Linked DNA regions of Cricetulus griseus. The protein of the gene in region 3 purifies or fractionates together with the protein of the main gene of each other region. This does not show direct contact. Links are inferred from orthologs where the notes say so. Each region holds a gene or a part of one and is shown on either strand. Other genes may lie near its edges.

Region 1 (10,582 bases), on a different chromosome or scaffold from region 3:
TTTTAAATGCGAAAATGATGGTAAGATTGAAATTTCCCCATCTACACCTACACTTAAACTGTCTCTGTGTTTTCTTTAACCAACCTAATCCTAACTCTATTTTTGGTGTTTTCAGACAGGGCATCAGGTAGCCCAGGCTAGCCTAGACTACTATAACTGAAAATGGCCTTGAGCCCTCCCTTCTCCTCCACCTCCCAAGTGCCTCATAGGGATTGTTGGAGAATGCCACCACACTGGGCTCCTTCCTTTTTTTTTTTTTTTGTTTTTTTTTTTTTTTTTTTTTTTGTTTTTTTGTTTTTTGTTTTCGAGACAGGATTTCTCTGTGGTTTGGAGGCTGTCCTGGATCAGGCTGGTCTTGAACTAACAGAGATCCTCCTGCCTCTGCCTCCCGAGTTCTGGGACTAAAGGCGTGCACCACCACTGCCCGGCTCTTCTCCTTCTTCAAGTTAAATCGTTTTATTAGAGAAATTAGGACAATCAAACCCTGCCCTCCAGGCAGGCGGCAGCAGTCTCCAGCTCCAGTCGAGCCCTCACCAGTTAACAGCAGGACACCCAGCGCCTGACTTCTCCTTGTGTTGAGCTTTTCACCTCCCTGCTTCAAGGGAAAAACTTGCTTAGTTTCCTCCCCGGTAAGAACTCATCTGTCTGGGCACCCTCAGTTTAAACTTCAGTCCTGGAACCTAACACATCACGCGTGGGATGAGTCACTAGCGGGTCTGTCTCGGTGGCTCAACAGCGCTGTGTCGCCACCAGGGTTGTCAGCTGCAGGCTGCGGGGAACCTATTGGGAACTCAAGGTGCTTAGAACCGAAACTCCCTTTCTTAGGACGCCCAGCGTCCCTGTCCGGTGCAAGGCATTTGGGGGTCCGAGGTGGCCCCCTCCTGCCCTCTCCTGCCCGGCTGGCCTGACTCCTGGCAGGGCTCTGCCGGCCTCCGGTGCCCCGATCATGGCCTCGGCCCAGTTCTCCGGCTTCTAAACGCGGCCCGGAGCTACCGGGGGAACTGGAAAAACACTGGCAGGCCGCCCCACCCCCAGGCCTCCCTCGGCGGGCCGGGCGGCCGCGGCTCCGCGGCTCTGCGGCTCTGCGGCTGGGGCCTGCTGCCTGGGCGGCGCTGGCCTGGGGCGGGGAAGCGGGGGCGGCGGCCCGCCTGTCAGCGGGAGCGGGCGCGGGCTCGTGTGTCAGCGGCTCCCGCCCCTCGCCGCCCCCGCCGCCGCCCGCCGGGCCTCCGCCGCCGCCGCCCTCCCCCGCGGCCTGGCAGGCTGCCGGCTGCACAGGCGGGGGTTCGCGCCGTTCTCACGACCTCTCAGGTTGCCTGAGCTCATCTGGGAGCTATTCATTTCCTGCCAGAAAGCAGCCGGGCCTGCTGAGCGAGCCACCTTGGCCGCAGGGCCGCCGGGGCTGGCCCGGTGTGGCCGCCCTGGGCCGCTCCAGCCCGGTCGCGGTCCCCGAGGCCTCCCAGGAACCCCGAGCCACCCGGGGCGGGCGGGCGCGCGGCGGGGGCACTCCGCCCGCCCATCTGGTTGCACTTAGAAGCCCGGAGGAAGCTAGCAGCGGGTTGTTACCGGCCAAAGGGTGTGGGGAAAGTTAATTGACTTTAATGACAGGTTCCCCGTGACGATGAGGGGGTCCAGTTAAACCTCTGGGTCCCCACTGCAGAAACACGTGGGGGTGGGGGAGGGATGAGACCCGAGGACGGGGTGAGTTTCAGTCGCTCAAACCAGGCTCAGGCTCTCACTTCTCAGGATGATGCTAGAGACCTTCTGAGAGCCGAGGCCCCGAGGGTCTCCAGGGAGAGGCCTCCTAAATCCTTGACCTCAAGGACAGAGTTTAGAGATGTACATTATCGCCGGAGAGATCAGCTCTGCAGGAGCTGGTAGAGGGGTAAGGCAGCTGGGTGTGCCCCGAGGCAGTATAATTAGGCCAGACCCAGAGGACCTGCAGGGAGGCCAGAATAAACTCCGGCGCTTCACCTCTCCCCCAGCTACTTATTTAAGAAACAGCAGGGATGCTGGAGGCAGCAGTGTCTAAGAAATAAATCTGTTCTGTTTATGAACTTGGACCTGTCCTAGAAAAGGGAAATGACTTATCCAAGGGGATGCCGTGAGTTCAGTGGCTTTCAAGAACATGAATGTCCCCAACTGGGACGTAGTCTTTCTTCCATCCCGTATTGTACTGTAAAGACTTCATCTAATAATGTAAACCCAAATTGGGGGAGAGGGGCTCTTTTCAAAAGAACAACGGTGGTTTATGTTTCTCTCACTTTCTTGGCTTCTTCGGGTGATGCTGTGTATACTTTTGGTGACATTAATAAAGATGCTTGAAGAAATTGAAATTTTCTTTTTAGTTGTCCATCCCCATCCCTCCCCCCGCCCTGTAAAGAACAATGTAAAGGAATTACTTTTATAAAATTGAGATCCTGATGTCTGGATTATTTTTGCCAAAGAAGCTAAGAACTCTTGCTGGGGGACGGAGGACCGGGCTTACCAGATTTTAGTATTTGAGTATGGGATGGGTGTCTTAATGGAGCAATTGTTACTATATTTGTATTTAAAAGAAAGAGAAAACGAGGAAAAATGGAATGATAAGAGACATGTGTGTGTTTCTTTGGTAAAGGGTGTGTTGGACACATTTCTTGTACACAAAATAAGGCAAATAGGAGCCAAATTTTCAAAACGATCTTTTAAACCTCTCTCTCTAGGGGTCGAGGCTGAAGATATTAGAAAGGACCGGCTGCTGTCTGCTAGATCACCCCTGTGGTAGAGCCGCACTCCACATTGGCCTGTGGGAAAGGCTGGAGCCAGGCGGGGGAGAGGTAAGGCTTTTGAAACAAGACAGAAAATCGTTGGCTTTATCTTTGTTAGGAAAGCTTCAAAGATTGATCTCTCCCGCCTCATCCTTCTCCCAGAAGCCGCTGTAGGGAAAGGGGGAGGGGGGTGAGAGAAGGGCGGGCAGGCGGGCGGGGCGGGGGCTGGGAGGAGGACTGGCCGGCGGTGGGGAGGAAGGGCGCGCCGGCCAGACCCACAGCGCGGCTGATGTGTCTGGTCTCGCAGGGCTCGTGGTTTTCATTTCCCCAACACCTGGATGCAGTCAAACACCTGGCCAAATCTGACAAAATCTGACAAGCCTTTGTGATGGGATTTGGAAGAAATTCCCTGCAGATCCTGGCACAGTTTAAAGCTGTCCGCTTTGAGTTAGGACTTGTTAAGGAGGGTTGTGTGAGCTGAAACCCGAGACAACCCTTTTGCTTCTATCTGGAGCCCACATCTTGCCTGGAAATGGGGCATGACCAAGCGAAGGGGTCGCTTGCTGTTTGTATTAAAAGGGGAAAACGGCCTGTGTGCCTGCCAGCGCGGTCCCCACATGCTTTCTCCATTAAAGTCAAGCACAGAAACTTATCAGAAACACATGTCTGCTGTTAATCATCTGGCCCGGGCTCCACTTGGGAGTCTAACTAGCTGTCCCATGGCAGAAGGAATCTGTTGACCTTTTCAGCTTGCTTGAAGAGGGTGCAGAGAGGCAGTTAAAGCTTTGTGTCGCGGGTGCTAGGGGATTCGATGCTGCACCTAAGGATGGATCCCAACATTTGAGGAGGCTTAGGTTTGTGGCTACTCCAGGGAGTTAAGTCGGAGTCGCCCTTACTGCCTCTCAGAAGGCACAAAATAGGGACTGTTTATCTTTAAACGCTTTTTCTTTTCTTTTCTTTCTTTTTGCAGTCCTTTAGCCCCATCAAATGAATTTTTCAAAAATTAGGTCTTTTTAGTTTGTGGAGTGTTGGTGAAAAAGGTTTGGTGGTTTCTGTTTGAAACGTTAATATTATATTTTAAATTCTATTTCTGGGTTCCCAGACTACATGGAATATGAATTTCAAGAGACTCTCCTTTTACAATTTTTGAAATAACCAGTTCTAAGACATAAAAGCCTTCACTCTTTTATTATACTTTCTCCAATAAACTTCCCCAAAGGAAGATATTTTAAGAGCATTTTCAAACATCTTTGGCATCACATAAAAAAGAAATCTCGTGTAAAAAACGAAATGTCATCTCAACTTTTATAATACAAAGGCGCAATCCAATATGAACATATAAAATATATACAAATGCAGTGCATGGTCAGTCACTTAATACAGCTCTCTACAAAAAGTAACTTTTTAGAAATTAAAAAAAGCAACAAAGTAGCCACCAAATTATAAAAGTCTTCTCTCCTAATATCCAAGTTCGTTTTTAGTGTCCGTCGGAAGAGAGAGGTGGGCTAGGAAATTTAGGGTGAGCAATGGCCTGAGCCCCTCAGTTCCGCCACGGCCTCCACATGGAGTCCGCAGTGAGGGAGGAACCGCTGGAAGGAGACACTGCGTTAGGACCAACCGAGGTCCCGCTGTTGCTGGTGTAGACTGGGATGACTGGGCCGCTGTGGGCGAAGGCCCCGTTGGGGATGAGGAAGGCAAATTGGCCGTCAGGAGCCGGCACCACCTGGAAACCGCCAAAAACCTTGGCAGCCTCTCCAGCCTGGCTGCCCAACTTGCAGGGTGCGCTGCCGGGAGGGGGCGCCGCGCCCCCGGGGATGGGCACGAGCGGTGGCGGCGGCGCGAACGGCGCGTGCTGGGGGCCGCCGGGTCCTGACGGGGGCGGCGGCGGCGCCTGCAAGGCGGGGTGCGGCTGCCCGGGGTAGGTCATGGCGTTGATCTGGGTCATGCAGTTGGCCAGGTGGCCCAGCAGCCGAGTGCGCACCTCGGTGTTAACGCCCTCACACGTGGACAGGAAGCGGGTCACCTCGTTCATGCACTCGCTGAAGCCGGCGCGGTACTTCCCCAACACACTCGGGTCTGTGCTGAGCGCGGCTGCAGGCCAGAAGGAGAAAGGACAGGTCACCAAACAGCCCTGGCTCCGGGGCCACTGCCTCCCGCCCTGGGAGGTCCCCGCTGAGAGCCTCCGGAACCATCTGGGGTTGGGAGGGTGGGGTAGGCTAAGAACAGCCAGCTCCTTCTCTCTAGGTTGGCGACATAAGCCAGGACACTCCCTCCATTTAAACCGATCTCAGCTCCAGATCTGCCACCTCTAGCCCCGCGCGCTACGTGACCTTGGGCAATGCCACCCAAGGCGCTTTCCAAGTCCCACTTCCCCTCCTGCGGCAGCGGTTGGACGGGTGCTAAACCAGTGACCCCTAGCTTCTATCCAGCCCCAAACCGCCTCAGTCCTAAGTCCTTTCGCCCTCACCAGCTTCCACCACAGCCAAGCCGCCCACCACCCTCTCGGCTACAACCTCTCCCTCCCTTTCCGGAGCAGTAACAACTTGGGAGTTGTGGCTATAAATAAGACCCAGACCGTGGGAACGCGGAGTGAGCCAAGGCAGTAAAATGTAGCTGAATGCCTCTCACAACCGCGGGCGGAAGTCTGGAAGAAATCACCGCGGGCCGAAAGGGACACCCGCAGAGAGGGGACGCACGCGCGGTCCTCACCGGTCATCTGCGCCCGCTGCAGGTTCCGGAGGTGCTTCACTGTCATCTCCAGAATGTCTGCCTTCTCCAGCTTGGAATGCCGGGAGCTCTACGCAGAGGAAACAAGGGAAGAAAGTGAGACCCCCCCTTGTCAACTGCCTCTTGTTCTGAAGGTCCCCAACCCCGCCCGCATGTCCCACATCCCAGGGCCCTGTGGGAGAGGCCCGAACCTCCCTCCCGCCTAGGGGAAGGCAGTGCTGGCGGGGTAAGATCCTCACACAGCAGGGGAAGAGTCAGGTTCTTTGTGCCTGAGAAATACCACTGCATTCGTAATAATAATGATAATAATAATAATAATAATAATAATAATAATAATAATATGCATTGCTCACTTACATCTTTCTTAAGTGCATCCAAAATCAGTGTTTTCAGCTGGCTCAGACTTTCGTTTATTCTTGCCCTTCGTCTCTTCTCCATGATAGGCTTTGATGACTGCAAAGGAAAAAAAAAAAAAAAAACCGGGGGTGAGGGTTGAGCTCCCATGGGATCTGCCATTTCACCCCGAGGTTTTAAGAGGGAAAAGTACGAGGAGCCCCTCCGCGCATAGCCTACGTAATAGCTTCAGAGAGACGCAGGTACTGTCTTACCTTTCTGTGCTCAGAGGCGGTCTTTGGTTTGTCCGGTGTCGTGTTGACACTGGCTGGGGTAGCAGCCACCGGGGACGAGGAATTTTTCTCCATTATATCAGCTGGCATTTTCTTTCTCTTTTTCTTTCTTCTCAATCCCCAGAGAATTTTATTTTTGGAATCCTTCACGCAAAAAATATTTTTTTGCTTATGCCCCTTTTACTTGACTTTCATAAGAAAAACTACTGAGCAGCTGAGGGTTTAGTATGTCTTAGGGCTACTTAGTGATCGGTAGCGCTATTCCAGGACCAAGGAGAGAGGTAGACGGGGGATTCCGCTGTTATCAGCACCAGCTCCAGATCCTGTGTGATCCGCAGGCCCTGGCGGCCTCTATATATATCTGGGACTGCACGCGAACGGCTCGTGTGAAACTTCCCAAACTTTCTTTCCCACAGTAACTTTCAGCCAATGGGAGGAAGAGACACGCGGCACCGCTCGTGGACTGCGCCCCCCCATTGGCCGCCAGGCACAAGGTCTGGCGGCCAATGGCGCGCGCCTGAGCCCGGGGCACCGGAGGCTACAACGTCAATCAAAAGGATTTTAACCCTTTGCTGACTCCTCTGGGCTTTGCTTTAGAAAGGACTTTTCCGCCATGGCTTTGGTATAGTCTATTTCTTTTGTGGCCAGGTCTTTGGATTTTTATTGTCTTTGCCACGTGCAATATAACTACTTTGTATAGTAAGTTCATTTGAAAAACATTTTGAGAAAATATAGGAAAAGACATAATTTAGTGATTTAAAAACCAGGGAACTCGCGCAAGGGTGTGTTACTCTAACGTCCAAAGTGAATTCTCTAATTCTGTATGCTCAGGGGAGTGAAAACTGCTCATGCAGGGGGGGAAAGCAATACCCAAACCCCCAAACTAATCACTCCCTCACCACCACCACCCCAAAAGAGAAGTGCCTTCACAGGCAGGTTTTTTGGAGCAAGATGGCTTTTGGATGTCTGCCCCTTCCCCGCCCCCCAGCTTGCTTCTCATTCCTCTCCTGGGAATGGGGCATTGGACCTCACGCTTCTCCAGGAAACAATCAGAATAATTTCCTACTGGGCAGAAAGGAAATGGAATTTCAAATGAAAAATGAACAAGAGGGGCTTTGATAGCAATGCCACAAGGGCGCGCGCTCCTTCGCCACTCTATACCTTTCTCCCCCGCAGGCTCTCGGTTGGCAGTACCGAGAGGCGGCAGGCAGGGAGCCGGCCTCTCCCCTCCTCGCCCTGCGGGCGGCCATAGGCGGCCTCTGCGCCCGGCGTGCGAGCCCTTTAAGAGCTCCACCAGCCGAGCTGCAGTTTGACATCAGCCGGCCGGCGAGGGCGCGCCTGGAGTCGGAGCACGTGCCAGGATGTTTTATTGCCGCCGCGGCTGCGGCCGGACCCAGAGGATGTGTGTGTGCGTGCGTGTGTGAGTGTGTGTGTGCGCGCGCCCCGGGGGCAGGGAGGCGGGCCGGCGGCGGGCGGCCGGGAGCGGGGGACGGCTCTAGTCCCCGGGAGAAGCCAAGAAGGTAAATAGCAGCTGCTGTGCTCGAGCCTGGGAAAACCCCGCCCCCTGCGCCTGGCCTGGGCTCATTGGCGCGCGCTGCGTGTGGGGTGTGTGTGTGTGTGTGTGTGTGTGTGTGTATGTGTGTGTGTGTGTCCGTGTGTGTCCGGGGCCCCCTCCTCCGGCCTGGGCGAGTCAGGAATCCGTGGGGGTGGAGGGTCGGGATCAGGCCCCGCGTTAGCCTCCCCCCCACCCCTCCCGCCAAGGTCAGCCCTTCCGGGTGGGGCAGCGCTCGCCCAGGGGTGGCGAGCAGGGAATTCGTGCTCCCCACCCCCAACTCCATCCCAAGCAACCCAGCCCGGACTCCGATCTTGGGGTTTGAGCGCAGCCGAAACCTCCCCGGCGACTGCGGCGGGGGAGGGACCCGGGCGGCCGCCGCGGTCACGAGATGCCTGACCGCACTTAGGAAGCGGCAGGGTCAGCCTCCTGCCTCCGCTCAGCGGCTGTGGTTACAGAGGCTTCGCGCGCCTGCCCGCTCGCCCGCCCGCCCGCCCCTTCCCGGGTCCCTCGCTGCATCCAGGAGGCCGCGGCGGACGGCGGGGAAGAGACGGGCGACTGCGTGCTGCCGGCTGGCCGGGCCGCGCGCCGGAGGAGTCGCCGCCGCCGCCGCCGGGTGCCACGTGGCGGGCGCCGGGCCGGGAGCGCCAGGGCTCTGGCGGCGGCCTCCCTGGGGGATTTGCCGCACGGCGCGGGCGGCGCGCGCTGCCCCCGGCGGCTGCCTGCCTCCCTCTTTGCCTGCCCCCGGTCGTCCGCCCCTTGCCTCCACCCGGGTGTCCCCAACCCCTTCACATTTCCCGCCGCCCTGAACTCCGGGCGGCTAGCAATCCCAGCACGTTGTTTGATCCCCGCCCCCAGCTTTTCCCGCGTCCGGGAGGCCTGGCACACAAGGCGCACACTCTCGTCCCTCCCTTTCCCCGCTCCCACCGAGATAATGTGAATGATTTCTCCAGATCTGGTCCGGGATGAGATGAAGTGGTTCGCATGACCTTGGGCAAGCCCCTCTCTCTTTTATGATGGAACGGCAGACACTGTTAAACCCGGGGATTACCATGATGAGAGATACAGTGGCCGCTCCCTTGGAGTAGTCCACCAACGGCGGAGGCGCACAGAATCAGACTTTCTGACCAATGCCTGGGGATTCTGTTTTTTCCTTTCTTTTGGGGGGCTTGGATGGTGTTCTGAGGGGCGGGGGTCATCGGAGGAGTGTCTTTGCAGTACAAAGCTACACCTGCATCATGTGTGGAACGAGACAGTGGCCTTAGCCCGCTGCCAGATACCTGTGTGGGTATGGCTGCCATCTGTAGATTTCCCAGAAGATTCCCCTGGGAGAGCCCTAAAGTGGAGCAGTAGACAGGAGTAAAATGACGTGGAGAACCCAGGAGAATTAGTCATATGTTAAGCTGTTATGGTAAAGTTACCGGTGGAGAGGATCTGTGTTTTGTACCTCAGAAAAATATGGCTGAGGCATTGGAAATATGCTGAGTCATGGACTCGGGGGAAGGGAGTGCCCGGCGCAAATCTCGGGAACCTGAGGTCTTTATTCAGGATGTGTGGAAGGGCAAGGAAGAAATTTGAGGCCACCACAAGACCTTAGACATCCTGCTTTATAAAAAAGGACTCCGAACGCCACAATAGGTTCATAGTGGGGGGAAAGACACCAGGGTTCTTAGGAAGATGACCCTGACAAGTGTCAAGGGTGGACTGCAGGACTTGGAGATCGACCACATGAGATCAGACTAGTAGAGAATGCTCCTAAGTGACACATGTAGGCTGACATGCTACCTTCTTGGTCCAGGTCACCTGGTCAGTAACCACACAGGCCGCTGACCTGAGTGAAAAGGAAGTTGGTTTGCCCTAGGTGTAATGTTCTGCCATCTCAATAGGTTCTGACCTTTTTACTTTCTAAGCTTCTTTCCTGCCTCCAGGGACAGCCCTCCCCCAGTTTGCAACAAACCTTTACCTCAGGGGGCAGACTTGCTTTATTCACACTTGTTCTCTTGCCCCTTTGGGGACGGGGGTGGTGTGTGTGTGTGTGTGTGTGTGTGTGTGTGTGTGTGTGTGTGTATGCGCGCGCGCGCGCGCGTGCGCGCGCGTGTATATTACCATGCTGGAGGGTGGGCTGTGCCCTATCTTGTTCTGAAGAAATGATAAACAATGCCTTCTTTGTTGCTCTGCAACCTGGACCAATGGGGTAGGACTCTCCCTTCTTTCATATTCTAAACAGATGGGAAAGTGGTGATGACAGAAAATTGCCGGTCACCTTTTAAGCAGTGGGATTTTCCTGTGTTTTTGAAATCCTCATGGTGAAAGGTGATGAACCTGTGGAGTTGTCCTTCTTTCTGCTGTGCCCCAGCAAACTAAAGCTCCTACTAAGTCTTTGACTTAAAAAAACAAAACAAAACAAAACAAAAAAACCTCAACAATGAAACCACAAATACATTGTCCCAGAATCTCCAGGGGACAGCTGTCCAGGGGAGCATTTTAACCCTAACCAGGTTCCCAGCCTCCTGCAATAAGGTCTGTTATGACTTTGGCTGCTGTCTGTTCTTAACCTGGCATGCCAGTTGTCCCTTCTAATATTTTTTGTCTGTTTCTATTGCCTCTCAGGCTTTAGTTCCTGGCAGGTGCGTGGAGGAGGATGAACAAGTCAGTTAGGGTCTCCCAGTGTAGCCTCCAGCAGCCCCATGGATCAAAGAGTTAACCACAATTAATTTATTGTCACTTTAGGAGTATTTACACTGGAAGAATAAGCAAGTGACTTCACATACACACTTTTAGATTGAGGGACAGAAGGCCCATGTGACCAAAAATTATGCATAAATTTGTGCCTGTGTGCTGCCCCCTCCCAATAAGATTCAAAGGCCATGACAGCCCTGACTCTTGGCTCTGCTAAGTGTCAAGAACAAGGTTGCTTTGCAAATGAACTCATA
Region 2 (9,795 bases), on a different chromosome or scaffold from region 3:
ATGTGAATTTGGCTTTCCTTTCAACTTTTGCAATACTGTATTTCTTCTGTGGTAGTAAGTACTAATTCTATAGAGAAAACCCATAGCAGAAGCAAGCAATAACTCATCATCCCCCCACCCCCCAAGCTTAAATGCAGGACTTTCCCTGAGCTAGTTTGCCTTTCAACTGCAATAAAGGTTTTCTTTGCTAAGCCCACACTGGCCTTTCTTTCTTTTTCTTTTTCTTTTTCTTTTCTTTTCTTTTTTTTAATAGTAATTTGTGGTACTTTTTTGTGATTCACTTTAAACAACTGGTAGACTTCAAGAAACTTAGATCTAAGGTAAATCTAGTTTCACATTAAGACAACAAAATTTTGCCTATCTCTCTCTCTTTTAAATTTGATTCCAGCTTTTCAAAATTTCCTAGAATCTCTCTCTCCCCCTCTCCTCCCCTCACGCCCTTTCTTCCCCTCTTCATTCAAGATCCAGTCACCCCCATTTTCCAACATCAACTCTTGTGAATTTCAAATCAATGTTAGCCAACCTGCTTCTCCACTAGCCACCCGCCCCCTTTCCTGAGCAACCTCTAAGTGCTGGCTGATAACATCTTAGGGACATATTATTTTTCACTGGTCCCATTGTAAGAAGTGGCCAGCTTATTGCATTACTGCAGAGCACATTTCAGACTATACAAATGTAACAAATGAACAACTTGTCTTCCACAGAATCACCACAGGATCCAATTAATTACTAAAACTCTAACTCAGGTTTTCCAATTATTTTTTAGGGTTTATAGCAAGTGGGCTGTCTGAAACAGTTTGAAAAAGTTTTCATTTTGTCTGATATATATGCATATATGAACACATGCAATATATCTGGTATATATGCATATTGCACTCAAAGCAAAAATGATTCAAGCAAAAGAAACACATCTCTAAATTAAATTATACAAATATATTGAAAATTGAACCAAACAGATACCTCTATGTTGTAAAAATGGATAGGGAAGATAGGGGTATTTTACTTTGAATAGCTAGAATTTTAAGTTGTAATTAAAAATTTAAATATCAACATCCTTCTGTGAGTCATTGTAACAGGTGATCACTTCAGCAAGCTCTACATTGCAACTCAGCACATCTTTATTAGAATTCGTTCATTGTGGGTAAACAGCCACAAAAATAAATGCTGACTTAGAAAGTATAAATACAAATATTTAAACAAAAATGTTTGCAGCATTCATAGCGCAAATTGTACCTGAACTGAAGGGATATATATGCATATATACATATGCATATATGTATATGTATATATATGTGCGTGTTCATTATTCACTTCTAACTATATACATATATTTATTTATAATGTGCCAACTTCTATTAACACGATACCGGAAATTATATATATATATATATATATGTATATATATATATATACATATATATATATGGCATTCTGTCAACTGAATTTAAAATAAAGCACAGAATAAACAGCTATGCACATAAAATTGAATATCTTCTTTTTTCTGTATTTCTACAAAATTAAAGATATTAGCTGAAAAGCCTATACTTCATTTAAAGCTAGTATTTATTAAGTAACCTGCTCCTGGTAAAATTTGTTCACAAAGGGAAAAATGATACTATTCTCATTTGAAAATAAAGGAGCAGTTTAAACTCCAACTTGGCTGAAAAAGCCTTCGAATTCCCTATAAATCAAATGGTAATTTGCACATTAGCTCTACTTAATAAAAGAGACAAAAATATCAAGATATATATGAATTTAGCCTATTTTTTTATTTCTGTGTGTTCATAGTAAACATTTTTGTAAGTGACAAACACGGGCATATGACCACAGTATCACAATCAAGAAATTTTAAGACAACATTAACAATCACTCAAATTGATGCGTCATTTGCGCAACACGGGTTACATATTTGCAAAGTTTACCTATAAGTACAATAGGTATTAACATTTCACTACATTTAGAAAAAATAAAAGTGACCTGTTAGTGACCACATACATCGAAATATACACAACACAAACTGAAGGCAATCCTTAATTTTGTCCCCTTCCGATTCAATTGAATGGGCAGTGTTGCCAACTAAACAACTTTCCTTTTTCGTTTGTTTGTTTGTTTGTTTGTTTGTTTGTTTGTTTTAATACTTAGTATACCAAGTGCATTTGCTAGAATCCAATCTTTGGTCTAAAAGTAAACAAAAGGTAAAAACAGTTCTTTAAAGAAAAGGACAAAACAATAAATGGCCAATATAATTTCTTGGGCACCTTTACTACAAATTCTTAAATACAAATTACAGTTTAACATTTTTAAACTCTCTCCATAATTTAGGTTGTTCTCAAGGCCTGCGTCCACCAGATAGCTCCATGATAACTTATAATACTGCACACATGGAAATCTGGCAGCCTTTTGAGATAGGCTTGTCAGGTTTGAATGAAATGGCAAAGCAGTCACTATTTAGATACACATTCTACTATAATTTGACGTCCAAACCTTATATTCTACAATGTATTCTCCCACATTGCACCTCGCTGACACTCCACACCTTGTTAGAATAGGAAACAACCCTAAAGACTGAACAAACGTACAGAAATGGGGGGGAGGGCTTAATAAAAAATACCTGGACTTATTTTTTAATTATCATTTACAATGCAAATGTGTGTAAAACGTTCACTTACAGTCTGGTCCCCGGGATGTTAATGTATTAAAGGGTTGGAAGAAGACCCCTGATTTTGATGTGTGAAATAATCAGACAGTCCCCCGGACAGTCCTGTCGTAAAACTTGGCAAAGAGGGTCTTAAGGACTCACAGGGCAGGGTCGAGGGGGCCTGCGGCGACGTAGAGGAAGACGCGGCCCTGGCGCTCATGGACGTGCTGGTCTGCGAAGTCATTGACGGGTGTGGGACGTGGGGGAAAAAGTAACTTGTCTGGCCCGCGAGCAGGTTGACGGAGCAGGGGTTGAGGGAGTAGGTCCCGGAGCAGGGCACGGACAGGCCGCAGGGCACCGAGGCGGCGAGCGCAGCGGCCGTGAGGTGGTGTGTGGCGTACGGGATCTCCCCGTTGACCAGCCGGTCCACACTCAGCCCGTTGGCGGTCGAGAAGGAGTGGTTGTTGCCCAGCGAGTTCTGAGTCAACACGGAGCTGTAGGGCATGGGGTGGCTGGGGTAGGCCGACGTGGTGCCGTTGTAACTCAAAGTGCTGCTGGCGCGGGGGTGGTGCAGGGACAAGAAGGGCGACATGGGCCAGTAGAGGGAGCCGGCGCGGTCCATGAAGGTGAGGCCAGTGGAGGTGAGGCGCGCCCCGCGCTTGAAGGCCAGCTTGGCCCGAGACGTGGTGGAGCGGCGCCGCAGCTTGCCTGTCGTGCCGCCGATGAACACGTCGTCGCTCGACGGGTCCAGCATCCAGTAGTTGCCCTTGCCCGGGTCGTCGTAGTGGCGCGGCACCTTCACGAAGCACTTGTTGAGGGACAGGTTGTGGCGGATGGAGTTCTGCCAGCCCTGCTTGTTCTCGCGGTAGTAGGGGAAGTTCTTCATGATGAACTCATAGATGCCGTTAAGCGTCAGGCGTTTCTCCGGGCTCTGCCTGATGGCCATCATGATGAGCGCGTTGTAGCTGAACGGCGGCTTCTCGTACTTGCCGTTCTTCTTGTCGCCCTCCTTGCCCCCCTCCCCGTCCTTGCCGCCCTCGCCCGCCCCCTTCTTCTCCTCCCCCCCGGCACCGGCGCCCTTCTCCTTCTCGTCCGGCCCGACGGGCGCCAGCTCTGCGGGCCCACCGCCCGGCTCGCCTTTGGCTCCCAGCGCGTCGGCCTTGGCCCCGTCCAGGGTTGCGGGCGGAGGGAGCAGAAGCGGCTGCGGGCCCTTGTCGTCGTCGGCTGCCGGGGCGCCTCGTGCCTGCGGGGGCTGCGGGGTCGGGGGCGGCTGCTGCTGCTGCTGGGGCGGCGGTGGCGGCTGGGGCGCGGGCGGCGGCGGGTGGTGGTGGTGATGATGATGATGGTGATGCTGGGGGTGGTGGCTGTTGTGGTGACCATGGCTCGCGTGGTGGTTGTCGTTCTGGACGGCCTCAGGGACCAGGCTGTTGATGCTGAACGAGGACTTGGGAATCATTTTCACCTCTTTCCTATCTCCCATGTCCAGCATCACCCAGGCGTCGGGGGGCGGCGGCGGCGGCGGCGGCGCGGTAGCCGTGTAGCGGCGCGGCGGGCGGCCGGTGGGTTCGAAGCGGGGCGCGGGGGGAGCGGGGGTGGTGGCGGCGGCGGCGGCGGCGCGGCGGCACTGAGCGCTCCGGCAGCAGCGCAGTTGGACCGCAGGCTCCGGCGCTGGCAAGGCATGTAGCAAAAGCTGCAACCACCCCTCAAAAATTAGAGAGAGCGAAAGAGAGAGAGCGAGAGAGAGCGAGAGGGAGAGCTAGAGGGAGGGAGGGAGAGAGAGAGAGAGAGAGAGGAGAGAGAGAGAGAGAGAGAGAGAGAGAGAGAGAGAGAGAGGAGAAATAAAAAAAGCAAGAGGCAGAAGCAACCCGCCGCCCGGGGTGCAGCGCCCCGCTCCGTTCCGCGCCCGGCCTCCCCCTCCCCCGCTGCCTCCTCCTCCTCCTCGCGCCGCAGCAGTCACAGCAGCAGCAGCGGCAGCCCGAAGGGGGGGAGAGCCGGGCGGCGGGCGGGCGCGTCCCGGAGCGGCCGCGGCGAGGCTGGGAGACAGCGATCGAGGCGGCTATAGCCACAATTAATTTTCCGAGCTACAGGCGCACACTAGGGCTGTAAAAAAATTTTTGGTTTAACCTTTCCTACCGCTGCACCAATCACAGCCGGCGGCGTGCGGGAGCGTCTAGCTGGCCGTCGACCAATCGGCAACCCAGGGCCCGCCCATCCCCGCCCCGCCCCGGACCCGCCCCCTGCGCCTGCCCCCTCCGGGTGGCGGGCCCGGGCCCGGAGCCGCGCGGGGATCGGCGGGAGCTCGCCCACCCGGCCAGGATTAGCGCGGGGCGTGCGCCCCGGACCCCGGCCGCTCGCCTGCGGCTTCCTCCCTGTATGGGATTATTTTCCTTTGCGCGTCAATATTTATCCTTATTGATTAAAGTTTGTATCCAATTTTGTCTCTAAGAGCGGGGGCGCGGTGGAGGGGCGAGCTGTGAGGGTGCGGGAAAGGGCGTGAACCTTAGCGAACGCAGCAGTCCGAGAAGCGCCCTCGGAGCCGATGGGCCAGCGGCCCGGGATAACCGGGTTTCGGGGGAGCCTGGCCTGGTATATGGGGCGGGGGCGGCCACGGCCAGGCCGGTACTTACGGGTTTCTGAGGCCCTCGGCGAGCTCTGCCGCGAAGAGGCGCTGAGGGCGGCGTGCGGGGGCGGCCTTCCGGGCGGAGAGCTGCCCAGTGCGAACACAGTACCAAACAGTCCCGAAATAAAGCAGGTAACACGTGCGCGCTCCGTATGTCTCCCTTCACTCCAAGATTCGCGCTCCCGCGCGGTGACCGGGTCGCGTTTTCTCCTCGGGCACTCCACCTCCTCTTCAGCTTCTAGGCAGTACTGGAAGCTGGTAGCTGCAATCGGTCACCCTGGAAATATTTTCATTTTGCTTGACATTGAAGAGTGGATGTCTCCTTCCTTCTTAAAAAAAAAAAAAAATCCTATGTTTGCCCACCCACACTCACAAATGCTTTATTTCTTTAAAACCTCAATCTTGAAACATCAGTATATTGAAATCAGTTCTTGCCATTCCTGGATGCTGCTGTAATTCTCTCGGGAGCCTGGGAACGTGAATTTGACAGTCCCGGCTTCGAGGGTTTAGGGATGGTTTGGTGGGGAGGTAGAAATGAGTGGCTAGCTTGTGATTCAAAAGCTTTACTCGAATCTCGCGCACAGGGCCAGGGCTAAGGCCCATCATTTCCCAGGGATTGCAGCACACGGATCAGATGCGTCTCTAGCCCCCACGGGCTCGAAGCACGCCACCTTGTAAGGAGGACGTAGCCCAAGAGAAGAGGGAGGTGGAGATGCATAGGTCACGAGTACCTTTCTCCTCCTCTTTAAGGTAAAATACTCTAGCCATGCAAGCATTTTTCACTGTGATGAGCTCTTAGCTAAATGATCTGGCAGACTTGATATTTCTTTTTTAAATGAAGGGAGAAAAAGCAGGGCCTATGTATGACATTTAAATCTAGCACAAAAATGTAATAGATGAATCCTTAAACTAACAGGGAGCTATTCCAGTGTTCCCACCCCCAACTTTGAAATGGGGCGCGGGCAGAGGGAAGGGTAGGGGAGAGAAACATTAAAGAGAATAATACCCAATTATAAATAGTTAACGATTTTAATATATCTATTAGGAATGTTGTGAGGGATCTTCGAATATTTGTCCCCAAATATCCTTCCACTGGTTGGATCTATTTCTACAAATCCGCTTACATTAAAACAAGCTATGCATGAAGAAAAATTCCAGGGTTCTAGCAATCTACTTTGCAAGCAACATCGGTCGCCAAAGGTTGATTTCTAAGCTTTGGGTTTGCCACAGCTAGAGAGATCTGTGAGCCCCAGTTGTCCGGTTCACTTCCCCTTCCGCTCTTTCTCCTCCTCAGGCCCATTCTTCTCAGTGGTTCCTCAACTGGCTTGCTTTCCTTCCTCCTCCCCTCTTCCTTCTCCTCTTTTCACTAAGCCACCCCTTCTCCCTCCCTCCTTTCCTCTCCCCTCCACTCCTCCACCTACTCCTCCCCATCCCCCCAACCCCCCTTCTCACCACGCTTATAATGGCTCACGGGGCTCCCTCTGAGGTGGACGGCCCGGTACGTTTTCGTAGTCGGTCTAGCGTGAAATGATTCGGTGTAACCGGATTCTTGGGAAAGGACAGGTTACGTAAACATTTACTGATGTGGAGTAACTATACTATTTGTACTCTGATATGCAGGAAGGAAAGTGTTGATTAACACAGAAGAAAAAAAAAGCGAAATTAGCTGATTGCATGCTCATAAGTGCAAGCTGTCATTGAACTGCTTTTAAAATAGACACAGCTGGGTGTTTGTGTTGAAAAATTTCTTGTGTTTTTGCTAATACTGAAATAAGCATGATTTTGTATACCAAACATTTTCAGATCATTAAAATTTGTAATCTGTGCTGGTTTTAAACACAAAGAAAAGAAACAGAATCATTTCGATGTAAAATTTGCTGATATTATATTAACTCAATCAGGTCTGTACAAATTGTGCATTGTGTCTTCTAAAATCTGTTTGATCAATTTAATACACAAAGTGCCAAACGTGGGTATTGTTTGTTAACATTGGACATTTTATTCCAATCTGAGCTCAGCAGTGAACTGGAGGAGTGTTCCTTGAATACAACACCAGCACTGACTGATGAATTTTTAATGTTTTGAGGTAGTGCTTAGGTTAAAGCTAAATGTGTATTGTTTTGCTACCCTGTAGAAGAAATTAGCAGGAGAAGTAAGGTTTTCTTCTGTTTACTTTCAAAGAGCAAAACTGGGGTTTGGAAAGTGAGAGCTTCAGTAATCTGATTTTATATGTCAAGGCTTATAGTGGCCTGAAAAATGTTTTTGCATGCGAATTAAAGATGTGCGTGGGATTTTTAAGGTTGCATGAATGCAAGTCTCTCCAAACAGGATGTTTAATAGTAAAAACACAGAATATAGTTTGGTATAATATTAAAACTAGTTTCCTGATGCAAAGGTTATTTGCAGTTTCCAAAAAAGCAAGTTTGAATCCCTTTAAATAATTTTAATTGCTCTTTATGATGAGATGGGAATATATATCAGAACACAAACAAAAACATATGTATATCAGCCTTCTTCAACAAAACATGCACTGTTTACTCAGCGGCTTATATTTGTATCAGCAATGGTTTCTTTTTAGATCAGCTGCTAGCTGAAACAGAGGGGGAAGGGACTTCTGGACAAAGTATTGTGAAGTTGAAAGTCTCTGGATGGGGCTTTGTATATCCTACCAACCAATTTGGGTGCAAATTGGATTTGAAGTCCTGCCCACGTCCACCACGGGCCTCTTCCCTGAGCACATAAAGCCCTGTTTTCAGCCTCTGTGATTACCTTCAGAAGACAGAGGGCAGGCAGCCAGTGGTCTCAGACCGGAAACCAATTCCCCAATCAGTGTAAGTTTTCCTCCTAATCAATTTAACCTCACACTTATAAATCTGCAAATGTGTAGGTTAGTGAAGTAGTGAACATAACAGTGTATCAGAGTAAATGTGATTTGTTGGTTTACATAGTGGTGAACTTGTAGGCCTCAGTACTCATCTACCACCCACCCACCCACTCACAAAGAGGACAAGAATTGTATAGTAAGCAATTCCAATGGAAGATTCTTTGGAAATGAATTAGATAATTCCTTCTAGATTTTTAATTAACCTTCAAGACTCCACAGTGTACTTCTGAACAGGGAGGAGCACATTTTCATTTTATTTCTGAAGGTGGATGTTACATTGTCTTCCTCGAAGACAATTCTTTGCTTTGGGCCTCCCTTACCTTCTACTAACAAGGGTGGGCCATATTTATCTATCTCCACCTTTCCCTTGGGAGCAGGGACAAAGTCTAGCTAAAGTTCTCTTCTTACAAATGCACAGGACCGTTGGTGACCCCTTGACATGTGGGAGTCAGCAGATCCCATGCTGAGCCATCCAGGTATTTTCAAGAGATTCTGTAACAAATGAAGTCTGCCCTCCCTAGAGCCAACTTGTCTGTAATCACTTCCTAACAGCAGGTAATGGTGCTAACATTTAGTGATTAGAAGTTACTCTTTAGCGTGTTGTATCCTTGTTCTGTGGGTTTTGGTTACAGGTTATACGATTAGGTTTGCGAGAACAGTAGTGAACTAAACTTCTCAGTAAGAGGTCTTCACACCAGGGAAGTGTTACTTTTCCTCAGCAGCCCTGCCTCGTCACTCATTAGGGAGCTGCAGGTTGTCAGAGGCTGCTCTCAGCAGGCTCATGCGCGCACCCTTAATGTCCTCGAGGGCGCGCAGATATGCGGGGAGTGGGTACATACACACACACACACACACACACACACACACACACACACACACACACACACTCACGCGCACGCGCGAGCACACACACACACCACACACACACACACACACACACACACACACACACACTCAGAGCTCTAAAACTAAATTAAGAAGCGGATGATTAAGACAAGCGTCTACTAGGCCTGTCATTTCAGCATCCTTCCATCATAACATTGTGGCACTGGCAATTTTGCTTGAGAACCTTGAGAAAAAAAAATCTATGGGAGAGCCTCATATTTGAGACTCCGAAATGTTTAACTTCTATAAGCTAGGGAACCACTTCAGGAAAGTTAAAAGGAAGAGGAAGAAGATAAGGGAAGTGGTCTTCATGGCACATTTCTTTGAAATAGCCATGTGTCCGGTGAAGCTACATCCAATGGCACCCCAAAACTTCTGATACCAACGATCCCAGAGAGACTTACAGCATAATGCCATTACCCTAGAGCCAAGACCCCTTGAGTTTCTCTGAACAATGTCTCTGTAGAATACCCTGAACACCTCTTGTGAATAGGAAGGCCTGCTGCCCTTTTATGCGTTTTCCTGTTATTTGGCAGCAACTAGGAACTTTTGAGAGTGGGGAGTTTAAGAATTCGAGACCCTAGTAAGTAAGAAGGGAAGCTTTGCTCCACTTGCAGATCAGATCCAATTGGGAGAAATTCTCTCACACACCAGCTGAGCAAGCCAGTCCTGAAAGGCGAGTGTCTGTATTTTCCCCTAGTTGCCCAAGGAATGAATGCAGTCTACTTATCCAAGAGGACAGGAAAGACTGATGAGAAAGAAAGAAGA
Region 3 (10,387 bases):
CCCCTTGTCCTAAAACAAACAAACAAACAAACAAAAAACCAAAAAACCCAAAATGAACTAGACCACACTAACACAAAGGAATATCCTATCCCAATGCATTAGAAGTAAACAGGATTAGAAGGAAGCAATATGCAAAAGAACACAGAGTACAATGGCATTTCTATCTCAGCACACTAATATCTACTTATAAACACATGCCCTTTGAGTTGATACTTCTCTTGAAATAACTTAGATAAACAAAAGATTGTCCCTGTCTTACTGTAGTGTTCTAGGGCCACAAACATAAGGCTCTTTAACAGCCTGATTGACTGGCTTCCAACTTCAGAGTGCAGCACCTCTAGTTCTCAAACAGTTTACTGAGTGAATAGTTAATCTCTTACAAGTTTGGGGGCTTTAATGAGGTAAACAAATGACTGGACTGCAAAAGTAAACACTGCAATTCCTCCCAGGCTCATCCCTGTTTCAAGAATTCCTTTCCTCTCCTTTCACTAGCCCCTGTTTTCTCAAGTTTGGTGTCTTATCCTGTACAAGTATTGAAATTGCAAAAGAGACCTTTTTAATTATAAGTACTACAGTAATGAATTCAAGTACACTCATTTATCATAAAGGGCTTTCCCATCTGTCTCTAAAGCATACTTAGAAATGCTGTGTATTTGATAACATTAGCACCAAGCATCTTCCACATGTTAATGTTTAGCGTTTTAGATACTGTTGGTATTTCTCTCCTCCTTACAACTTAGTGGTGGTTCCAGAAACAGCACATTCATCTGTGTATTTAGGAGTGCCTGTGTGGTCTCTTCTAATTTATTTGTTCTTCTGTCCTAAGGGATCCATCACAATCCCCCTAGGCAGGGAGATTAGGGAATGGGGCTGACTGCCTTTGCCCACCATGCCAGATGAGGAAAAACAACTTCCCCAAGTCCCTCAAGTTCTTCTGGCCACTGTACAAATTGTTCTTGAGCATGGAGAGTTTCCAAAAGCCCTAATTAGCAACTCACAGCAAACATTTCTTTGCATTAGCTAATGATCCGGCCACACTTGTAAGCAAACAGAACCAACATATCTAATCAATGCTGAAAACCAACCAAATGACTATTAAACATCTGGATGTAATTTTCCAGTTAGAACAAAATGAAAACATATGCAGGTCCCTTTGATCTTCATCTTAACAAAGAAATTGTTGATAAAAAGCATACTGGTCAGTCAATGTGTAATTTTCATAACGTCTGCTGGTTTCTCTTCAAATGTTCCCCATTTAATTTGGTTGGTTTCCTGCAATCTCTAATTTTACCATATTGTGTGAAACCACAAGAGATTCTTTGGATGTGATTTTATTTGCGGTTTCACTGTTGCATGGATCTGCTACTGATTTCTTTTCCTTCTCTGCCTTCTGTCCTCTACCTCCTCTCTTTAGGAATAGGGTAGGAATGAATGAAATGTAACAAGCACCCCTGAGAAAATTTCTTCTGGACCTTACTTCTAGGTTTAAGAAAACACTCACTTCAAACAAAACCAAACCAACCCAGTCCAAGCATGTTGACTCTTGCCTATAATCCCATTATTTTGGAGGAAGAGGCAGGAGGATTGTTACAAATTCAAGGCCAGCTGCATTTAAGTAGCCAGCTCCAGGCTAGCCAGGTTTACAAACAAAACACCCCCTTCCCCATCTAAAACAAACAAACAAACAAACAAATAAATAGCTCAAAGCAAAACAAAGGCTGAGGATGTGGTTAAGCTGGTAGAATACCTGAGCAAAACCTGTGTGGAGCCACTCACAGAATCCTAGAAGCAAGAGAATTCAAAGTTCAAGGACATCCTCTGCTACACAGCAAGTTTGAGGCCAGTTTGGACTACAAACAAAAAAGAAAACAAAATAGCCACCATCATTTATTTCAAGTCATTATTTATGTGGAATCTAGAAACTGTAATTAGCAAGAGATGAATGAAAATACACCCATGTATGCATCAAGATAAAGTGAACACACTAAACAAGCTCCTCCTCCACAGTGGTGAAATTGGTATGTTTTTCCCCCCAAGACAATTTCCTATGGAGCTGGAATATTTAACATTGTTAACAGATTTCAAATTAAAAGATGAAAGCCAGGCATGGTGGTCCATGTCTGCAGCCAATCCCATCACTTGGGAGGTAGTGGGAAGGAGAGCTACATATTCAAGCATGATCTACATTGTGAGTTCTAAGTTAGCTGTGATACAGAATGAGACGTTGTCTCAAAGAAACAAGCATACACAAAAATGTGATATATCAAAATTACAGATTGAATGAGCAAGACCATATTCATTTAAATAAGTTACAGGTAATTGCACATATATTATTCATTTCAAACATAGGATTAAAGCAACTTGATTGTCTTAAACACCATCATCTGTAATGCAGTTTGATGAGAGTTTTGTAGTATAATTATTACAGCATGCCAATCACAGAGTAAATATGACCTTGAAAATAAAAAAGGACACAGCCCTCTTCTATTCTCAGAAAGATGAACTGAATGGAAAAAGATACCTTCAAAACTCCATCATTTTTATATGTGCAATCAAAGGGCTCCCAATTTTAAAATCGTTATGTACCCCCAACCACATACTGCATTTTAAAGCAATACGAAGGGTTGGCCTGGTTTCAAAGGCTAGTACTAAGAAAGCATTAGTTAAGAGAGAAATTCTAGTTTTTACTCAGAACAAACTGGAAACTCCAGTGAGTGGACAACACTTTCTCTGAACAGTTAGTGGAGAGTAAAGGCAATGAGTTAGCATTGATGTGGAGAGTGGGGCATGTAGCAACACTTTTGCTTCTGACCCTAAACCTAGTACTTTAAAACTTAATTATCACCATTTTCTATTAAGTGAGGGGCCACCTGATAGGTAAAGCTTGGGGACTCCAGGGAGAAAATTTCACAATAGGCACAAGCACAGACTTGTGGTGTCCCAAGCACTTCCTATTCAGCTTGTGAGCTGTTCCTGGGGATAGGCCACTGACTGGGGAGATCAAACCACTGAAGGATGATTTCAAAGAACATGTTAGTTACCCAGGATCACAGGAGTTCAAAAATTCCCGTTTGGCTCACTCACACATCACCAAATCTAACCAAGGAAAGAGGCCTGTCTTTCTTCTTTTTCATTTGGTATGTTATGAAAACGAGTAACGTAAGCCTGTTCCCAATTCTACGAGAAAAGAACAACCTCAAAAGACACTGAATCCGTTTCAGCGTTTACTGTGGTCTGCAGATTTGGCTGATACCGTTCCTTTGCTTTTCATTTACAACCGATATTCGAATTGATGCACTTACAGACCATGATGCACATGCAGCCCTAGCATGCATGTTTAAAATGAACATTCCAAGTACCGCAATGAATTACCCATTTTTTTCTGTATTTCAAAGAAAAAAAATGTCAAAAGCAAATTCACATCTATTTCAGTAAGCTCCTTCCGGTAAGTCTCTATAAGGTAAAATAATGGGGATAGAGGTATTAATGCCCCAAATTTGTTAACTAGGATTCAACAAAAGATAAATGTTTGCCCAAGCAGTCCTTGCCTTTCTTACCAGAGAAGTTACCACCAGGAGGCTAAAACAGCATCATTCACTCGTGGGTCACATTAAAACAAAACAAAACCAACAAACCAACAAAAAATCTACAGGTCCTCGAACTGCTCTTTAAAGAAAGCACACGTGTGGCGATACTGCAGGTGTTTTGCTAGGGAACCAGACAAAAACCGGAGACTCAATGCATTAGTTCCATAGCATGTCTCCTTTATTTAAACCTTGAAATTCCTCTTATGTCAATCCTCATTAAACAAGCTCCTCAAGCTGCTTCATTTACCAACTCTCAGTGGCTCACACGTCTCTGCCTGGAGTACAACCAAAGCAACAGGGGAGGGGGAAGGGCAGGTTTCAGGTCTCGACGCTGGTTTATTCCATTGTCTTTCATTTCCCAGAAATTTGAAACTGACTAGTTACTCTTCCGGCTGTCTGCTAAAACTCTCGGCCACTTCTCTCCTATCCAAACAGTGAAATCATTTGAAGACCAGAACCCAGATTTCTCAGGGGGCGCAAAAGCATCTCGTCTGCGCACGGGACACGAGTGTCTAATACAGCCAGCACCTCAGGGATCTTCCCCGCCAAACCGAGTAAGGTCGACCTTTCACGAAGTGGTGCAAAATCTTTCCAAGCCTGTGCAGCTAGCGGTCCAGTCTTCCCTCGATGGTGTGCGCATGCCAGCTGCAGCGATGCTCATGCACTTCCCATCAAAGGCACAGTTCACTTCTCGTGGGTCCGTGGAAAGGCAGCTCGAGGAAAAATAAGCTCCCGATAAACTTGTGAATGGAACCTCACCTTCAGAGTAACACCCAACAAAGGGAACCAAGACAAGAAAGTGCATTCAGTTCTCGTTACCAAGACGCATGCCCTCCCCCAACAAGAAACCCCACGGTTAGTCTCAGGTACTTTCACTGAGATTTCCTTCAAGGAAAAGAGGAGCGAGCAGCAGGCTTCTGCAAACTTCAGCCCCCTGCTTTCCTCGCCTCCCGCGCGCAGGCCGTTCGAGCTCGCGGGCACTCGCGCGCTCCCCCCAACTTGCCCCACGTTACTTTGATTGACAGCCCGGCTCGCCGCTCTCCTTCCCACCGACCTTCGGAGGCGGCTTGCCAATCTCAGCGTCTGACCGCTCCCCATTGGCTGGCGTGTGCTCCCCGCAGCTCCTCGGGCACCGGAGCACTCAGAGCGCCCAGGACGCGCTGGCGAAGGAGGGGCGCAGGCTGGTGGGCGGAGACACGGGCCAGCAGAGGCCCGGCGAGGTGGGCGGAGCGAAGGCCCACACTGGCTTTGGCCGGCGCGCGTCAGCACCCCACGTTGGCACGGCGCACGCGGTTGGCCGAGCGGTCGCGGCTCCGCCTACGTCCGCGGCGGCCCTGGCGCTTGCCGCCCCCGCCGCTTGTCTCGGGCGGGGCGCTGGTTTGCTAGCGAGTGTGAAACCGCGTGTTAATGTAAGCGGCGCGAGAGGCGCGGGCGGCGGCAGGAGCAGCGGCGGGGACCCCGCGTCCCGGGGCAGGAGCCGGGACTCGCCTTCGACGTGGCCCGCAGCGGAGGGAGGCCGAGCGGCAGCACGCTCTCCGTCGCGTGGACGTTTGCCTCCGGGTTGTGAGAGAACTTTGCGGCGGCTGGAGCTGGTCCGCCCTTCGCCAAAGAGTCGGGGAGGGGAAGGCAAGCGCAGGGAACGCTGGAGCCGCGGAGCGCGCCCGGCGGCCTGATGCCTGGGCTGGAGGAGCGCCGGGCGGCCGAGGGGCTGCACCGCTAGCACTAGCCGCGGACCGGAGGGAGGGCGCGTACTGGCGCGACCCTACCTGCGCATCAACCGTCTTCGTCTCCGCAGCTCCGCGCCGCGCCGGAGACTCTGCAACGCCGTTTGCTGAGCCTCGGGGTGACCCGGAGCTCACCGTCGTGGGAGCGGGTGACCTCCCGACCTGAGACGCCGCGCTTGCCGCTGGCTGTCTACGTGGGTTTTAGCCAAGGCGCCACCTGCGCGGCCGCCGCCGCAGGGAGGAGACTAACAGCCCGTCTGCCTTCGTGAGCCGCCCAAGGGAGCGCGGCCGGGGGCACCGGGTGGAGGACCGCCGTAGGACCCGGCGCCCCCGCTGCGCAGACTCGCAGGCGCGGGGCCGAGCCGCCCGCGATGTGGTCCTGAGGGCGGGGGCCGCACCCGTCGCGCCCTGGCCTTGTATCCTGAGCGCCCCGCGCGCCGGCCTGCTGCGCTGCTTCGCGGTCCCCGGCGGGATTCAAGTTGGAAGTGGCGCGGAGGATAGAGCTATCCCGGAACAGAGCCTCGGCTGCCGCCAGAGCGATGTTCCCGCAGAGCCGGCATCCAGTGAGTCGCCGGCGCGGGTGGGAGCCTGTCCTGCTTGGGAGCCCACGAAGCCCTGCTCCCCCCGCCCCCGCCTGTCCCCTCCTTCTGGATGTCTAGACGCCCGGACCGGGGTTTCGCAGTCACCTCCCGCCTATCCCGAGGCCGGAGTGATCCTGGCTTTGCCACTCGTCTCGCCTGTTTACATATAGTCAGTGCGGCCGGGTCACTCCAGGACTGGGAGCTAAGAGGGAGTTGGCATTTCTTCTTCGGTCCCCGGGGTCTTTTAGCGCACGGTTTGGGGAGGGGTGGCCTGGACGGCGAAGCTCTGGTCCGGCCCTTCTCAGTCTCTCCGGGCCGGGTGACCCCAGGGCGTCGGGCTCGCACAGTCCACATTGGAGGTAGACTTGCTTCTGTAACCCTCTTGAGAAATTAGGGCCCCGGGAAGGTGTGCTTTCTCTCTCTCTAAAGTGAACCGAGGGCTCGAGTTTGGGGCTCCGTTTTCCACCACTTCTAACTTTATTTTTTTGTTTATGTCCCATCCGCTTCTCCCTCCTCTGACTTTTCTGCTTTATGCCCTCACCCTCATATCCCCTTCCTTGGTCTTCCTTGCTGGTCACCTGCAGACGCCGCACCAGGCTGCAGGCCAGCCCTTTAAGTTCACTATCCCGGAATCCCTGGACCGGATTAAAGAGGAATTCCAGTTCCTGCAGGCGCAGTATCACAGGTGCGTGACGACCTGCTCGGGGTGGTGGTCACCTGGGGGCTCTTTCCTCACTCGGCCAGGCTGCTAGGACTGTGTACTTAGTGCTTGTGTCCAGGCGGTGGCGTGTGGAGTCACAGTTAAGCCCTGTCATTCATGTTACCCCCCTTTCTTGGCTCTCCGGGCCGCCCCTCCTGTTGTCTCCTCCTCCTCTTCCCATTGTTTCCCCTTTGCGCATTTGCGGCTGTTCCAGGGAGTCCCTTTTCGTGTATTTTGGAGTTGCATGAGAACCGTCAATATTTGCGCTTCGTTTATTTATTTTGCAACAGGCTGAACTAAAACATGGGTTCAATCAATGGCTCAGCTCTGTAGTGTGCGTTCAGGAAGGCAAAGCCATGTTGAAATCGCTGTTTACCATACTAGAAAATTGGGTTGTCTGAGACAAAGTCCATTAGGAGGGCTAGCTGCGTTTAGCTGTGCCCATCATGGGTGATTAGGTGGTAGAATGTAGATAATGTGTGTGGCCCACACTCTGGGGTGTTTGGATAGGCCAGGGGAATAAAACCACATTCACATTGACCTTGGTTCTGAGTTCTTTATGTAATGATACCATCTTCAACGGATTTCTTAGAGAAAAATCTTGCTAAAGCCTCCATCGATAGTGAATTATCCAGAAAGGCAACTTATTTTGCTCCTATGTGGTTTTGATTCATTGGAACTAAGCAATAACTTAGAAGAAGACTTTTACTTTTCTCATGCTGTAAAAAAAAAGGACCAACCTAAGGCTTGGTGGCTTGGGTGTAAATTTTCATATTTTGTCAGTGACTTTTTGATTTTTGAGCTGTTAGCTGCTTTAAGGTGTTATCTCCAGAACTTGAGGCATACTTGCACACACTGTTTACTGAACAGGGCCAGAACTTCAACCCACTTTGCTGCTGTAGCTGCTTGTCATATTTTGGCAGGAATTCAAAACGAAAGGTTTTGAAAGGCACTAGTTGTTATAGGAGTAACTTTACCAGTAAAGTGTCTCAAAACTGAAGATGCCTGTGCTAGGGAAGGGAGGTTGTGCAAAGGACATACTTTGGTGCAGTCAGGAGAAGTAGGATGGGGACAGATGCGCAATCTTTTTTAATAGGTTTTTCCTTCTTGCACCCTCAACATGGTATGTGCCCCAAGAACAAATAGAACAGTAGTTGGTGGATATTCGTTGTTGTTCACTTTCTTTCCCAGCATTGAATACAAAGACAGCTTTAAGGATGTTTTCCTAGCTTATGACTTTTCCAAATTGTTTTTACTTGAAGTGCAAATATGTGAGGCAGATGTTAAAACAAGTGACATAATGTTTACCTTAAGCTGCCTGTTTTGTTTTTGTAGTCTTAAATTGGAGTGTGAGAAATTGGCAAGTGAAAAGACCGAAATGCAGAGGCACTACGTGATGGTAGGTATCAAAGATAGGACCTTTTTCTCTTCACATAGCGGTGTGTGTTCTTACTACAAAAAATGTGAGTTAACGACTTGCTTGGTTCTTCTCTTTACAGTATTATGAAATGTCATATGGATTAAACATTGAAATGCATAAACAGGTAAGCTTTAGCTAAATGTTAAGCTGAGAAAGCAGTTTATAGGATTTTGCCATGCTGGTTTTGTCCTCAGTCACTGCATGATAGGGTGGGTGTTTGTGGGCTATTTTTCTGCCCTTCTTCGATTTGGCATTAACATGCTGCAGCAAGGATTGCTTCTTCAGGGTTACAAGACTAGCTGAGGTGCTTTGGAAATGTTTACAGGCAGAGAGGAACTGAGCTCAGGTTACTTTTCCACTTGGATAGATTTAAAGATCTCAGATATATTGTGGTTACTGGAGTTTAGGACAGTTCATATTCTTATATGTTTGGGTATAAACTGTGGAAAGTGAGGGGGAGGGGGTACTTGAGAGTTTCTTTAATCAGACTTAATAAAGCATATGACTTTAGAGTGCTCTTATGCTTTGGTGTTCTGGAAAGTGACACTCAAGATTAGTGGCTTATTAGCAAACATGTTTTTGAAAATTTTCTCGGTTGATGTCGATTTGGAGGAGAAAAAAAAAGTCCTTTTATGGCCAACGAGCGTGTTGGAAGGTGCTTCAGTCCTAGTGGTTTTAAAAGCATGAAAAGATTAGTGACTGGAAAGCTTTAGCAATGACTTGAGTTTGCAAGTTCCCATAAAATTCACACTTATGGCTACTATAATGGTGTATAAAAAGAGTATTGAGCTGGAACAAGACACTAAGGACCTCATAAGAGAAGAAAAGCTAAATGATTGCTCAGCCCAAAGGACCCTCAATTGAGTAGTCATTGTCTGCCAAAGAAAGCATTAATGGCAGGGTGCAAGTGTTCTGAAGATATGCTGACATTCACTTTATCAAAATGCTGGTACAATAAGTCTTTTAGAAATCGATTGCCTCTTAAAAAATTATCATCAGATGAAGTTGCACAGTTGGACACGTTTCAAAGTGCAACAATACAATTCTTACTTGATGTATATGTGCTATTTCATCTCAGACCCTTGTTTCATTAAATTAAAGAGCATGGCTGACCGGCTGGGGCATGGTGGAGAAATTGATTAGTTCAGCCTTCAGATCTTCCTTATATTCAAAGATTTTCATTAAGCAAATCCATTTCGGAGTTGAATTCTGCTTTTGTAACTCTGCACGCTTTGATTTTTAATTCATCATAGATTTCATAATTATGTACATTAGATCTGTTCCCAGATACATGTTTTCAGAGTGCTAAGTCAGAGCCTTTCAGTAACTAAGGTAATGAGCCTTTCATAAAATGTTTGTTTTACTGATTTGCAGAGTTCTTTATGTGGTGCTGATTTCCTGTATTTCTGCTGCTGGTGTGCTTTGTTGAGGTTTTTAAGTCAATGATAGTGAGCTGGTATATCTCTGGTCTATGGCCATTTAAATTAAGAATGTAAATAAACTTGGTGTAGGAATTCTAATTTGCATCTTTTAAGTTACTCTGTAGGGCACTTTTTCTTTTCTATTATGTATTCTGGGCACTGAGCTTTTTCTTAAACATGTAAACTGGAAGGATTTAATGACCCACAGACTCTTGTACAAGGGAACAGCAAGTAGCACACAAGTTAGGTGCTGGTGTTGGTCTTATTGAGGAAACAGAAAGAGGTGTGTTAATTCTGGGTTCTGGTGACTTTATTTACCATAGAGAGAAGGAGTAAGAGGCCAGAAGGGTCAGACACCCCTGGTGTGAACAAAGTTTTCTCTTGGGTTCTGTACTGTTGTGCCTTGGGCATTTGTGGGTATATACTATCTCTTTGTATGACAATATGCATTAATAATACACTGTGTGTAATTTGGCCAGTAATTTGAAACAAATGGGAAGCTAAGAGACACCATGTTTTTCATAGAGTATTAAGCCCTCTGAAATTTAGTTCATATTGCAAATGCTGACAGACCCTTCACTAGAATGGAGTGCAAACTCATGCTGTAATTCAGTCTAAAGTGGTCTTACATTTGAAAAACAGCCTTCTGAGTGTCACATGTTAATAGTAAGTTTTGAAGAGTCATTTGGTGCTGTTGGTGATCATAATTCTTATTAAAACTAGTGATGTCTGGCCCCCAGGGTGTAGCCAGGCTCAAATTGATGCTTTTTGCTGCCTGATCACCAGCATGGCCTAAGTGCTCATTATATTGTAGAGAGGGCCTTTGGAGCTCTCATTAGATTTGACAGGAATTCTCTCTAGGGGGAAACTGGGCATTAGCGAAGACTCCTGACAGGCTGAAATTATTCCTGCTTTATGGCTTATAACCAAATGCTAGCAAGGCATCATCAGGGG

Evidence for each region.
Region 1: the proteins of Tle1 (region 3) and Hes1 purify together in Homo sapiens (affinity purification with western blotting; 4 studies listed by BioGRID and IntAct, with this or other methods). This does not show direct contact. The link is inferred for Cricetulus griseus from reciprocal best matches to the Homo sapiens genes TLE1 and HES1.
Region 2: the proteins of Tle1 (region 3) and Foxg1 purify together in Homo sapiens (affinity purification with western blotting; 3 studies listed by BioGRID and IntAct, with this or other methods). This does not show direct contact. The link is inferred for Cricetulus griseus from reciprocal best matches to the Homo sapiens genes TLE1 and FOXG1.

What each region holds. Positions count from the first base shown.
Region 1 is NC_048597.1:59,403,578-59,414,159, forward strand, and holds Hes1 (transcription factor HES-1), read right to left. Parts: upstream 6,467-10,582; 5' UTR 6,188-6,466; coding exon 6,080-6,187; intron 5,925-6,079; coding exon 5,829-5,924; intron 5,542-5,828; coding exon 5,454-5,541; intron 4,836-5,453; coding exon 4,285-4,835; 3' UTR 3,914-4,284; downstream 1-3,913. UniProt on the Homo sapiens protein: Transcriptional repressor of genes that require a bHLH protein for their transcription. May act as a negative regulator of myogenesis by inhibiting the functions of MYOD1 and ASH1.
Region 2 is NC_048598.1:152,817,767-152,827,561, forward strand, and holds Foxg1 (forkhead box protein G1), read right to left. Parts: upstream 4,128-9,795; coding exon 2,688-4,127; downstream 1-2,687. UniProt on the Homo sapiens protein: Transcription repression factor which plays an important role in the establishment of the regional subdivision of the developing brain and in the development of the telencephalon.
Region 3 is NC_048595.1:74,292,695-74,303,081, forward strand, and holds the start of Tle1 (transducin-like enhancer protein 1), read left to right. Parts: upstream 1-4,955; 5' UTR 4,956-5,850; coding exon 5,851-5,874; intron 5,875-6,476; coding exon 6,477-6,577; intron 6,578-7,927; coding exon 7,928-7,991; intron 7,992-8,091; coding exon 8,092-8,136; intron 8,137-10,387. UniProt on the Homo sapiens protein: Transcriptional corepressor that binds to a number of transcription factors. Inhibits NF-kappa-B-regulated gene expression. Inhibits the transcriptional activation mediated by FOXA2, and by CTNNB1 and TCF family members in Wnt signaling.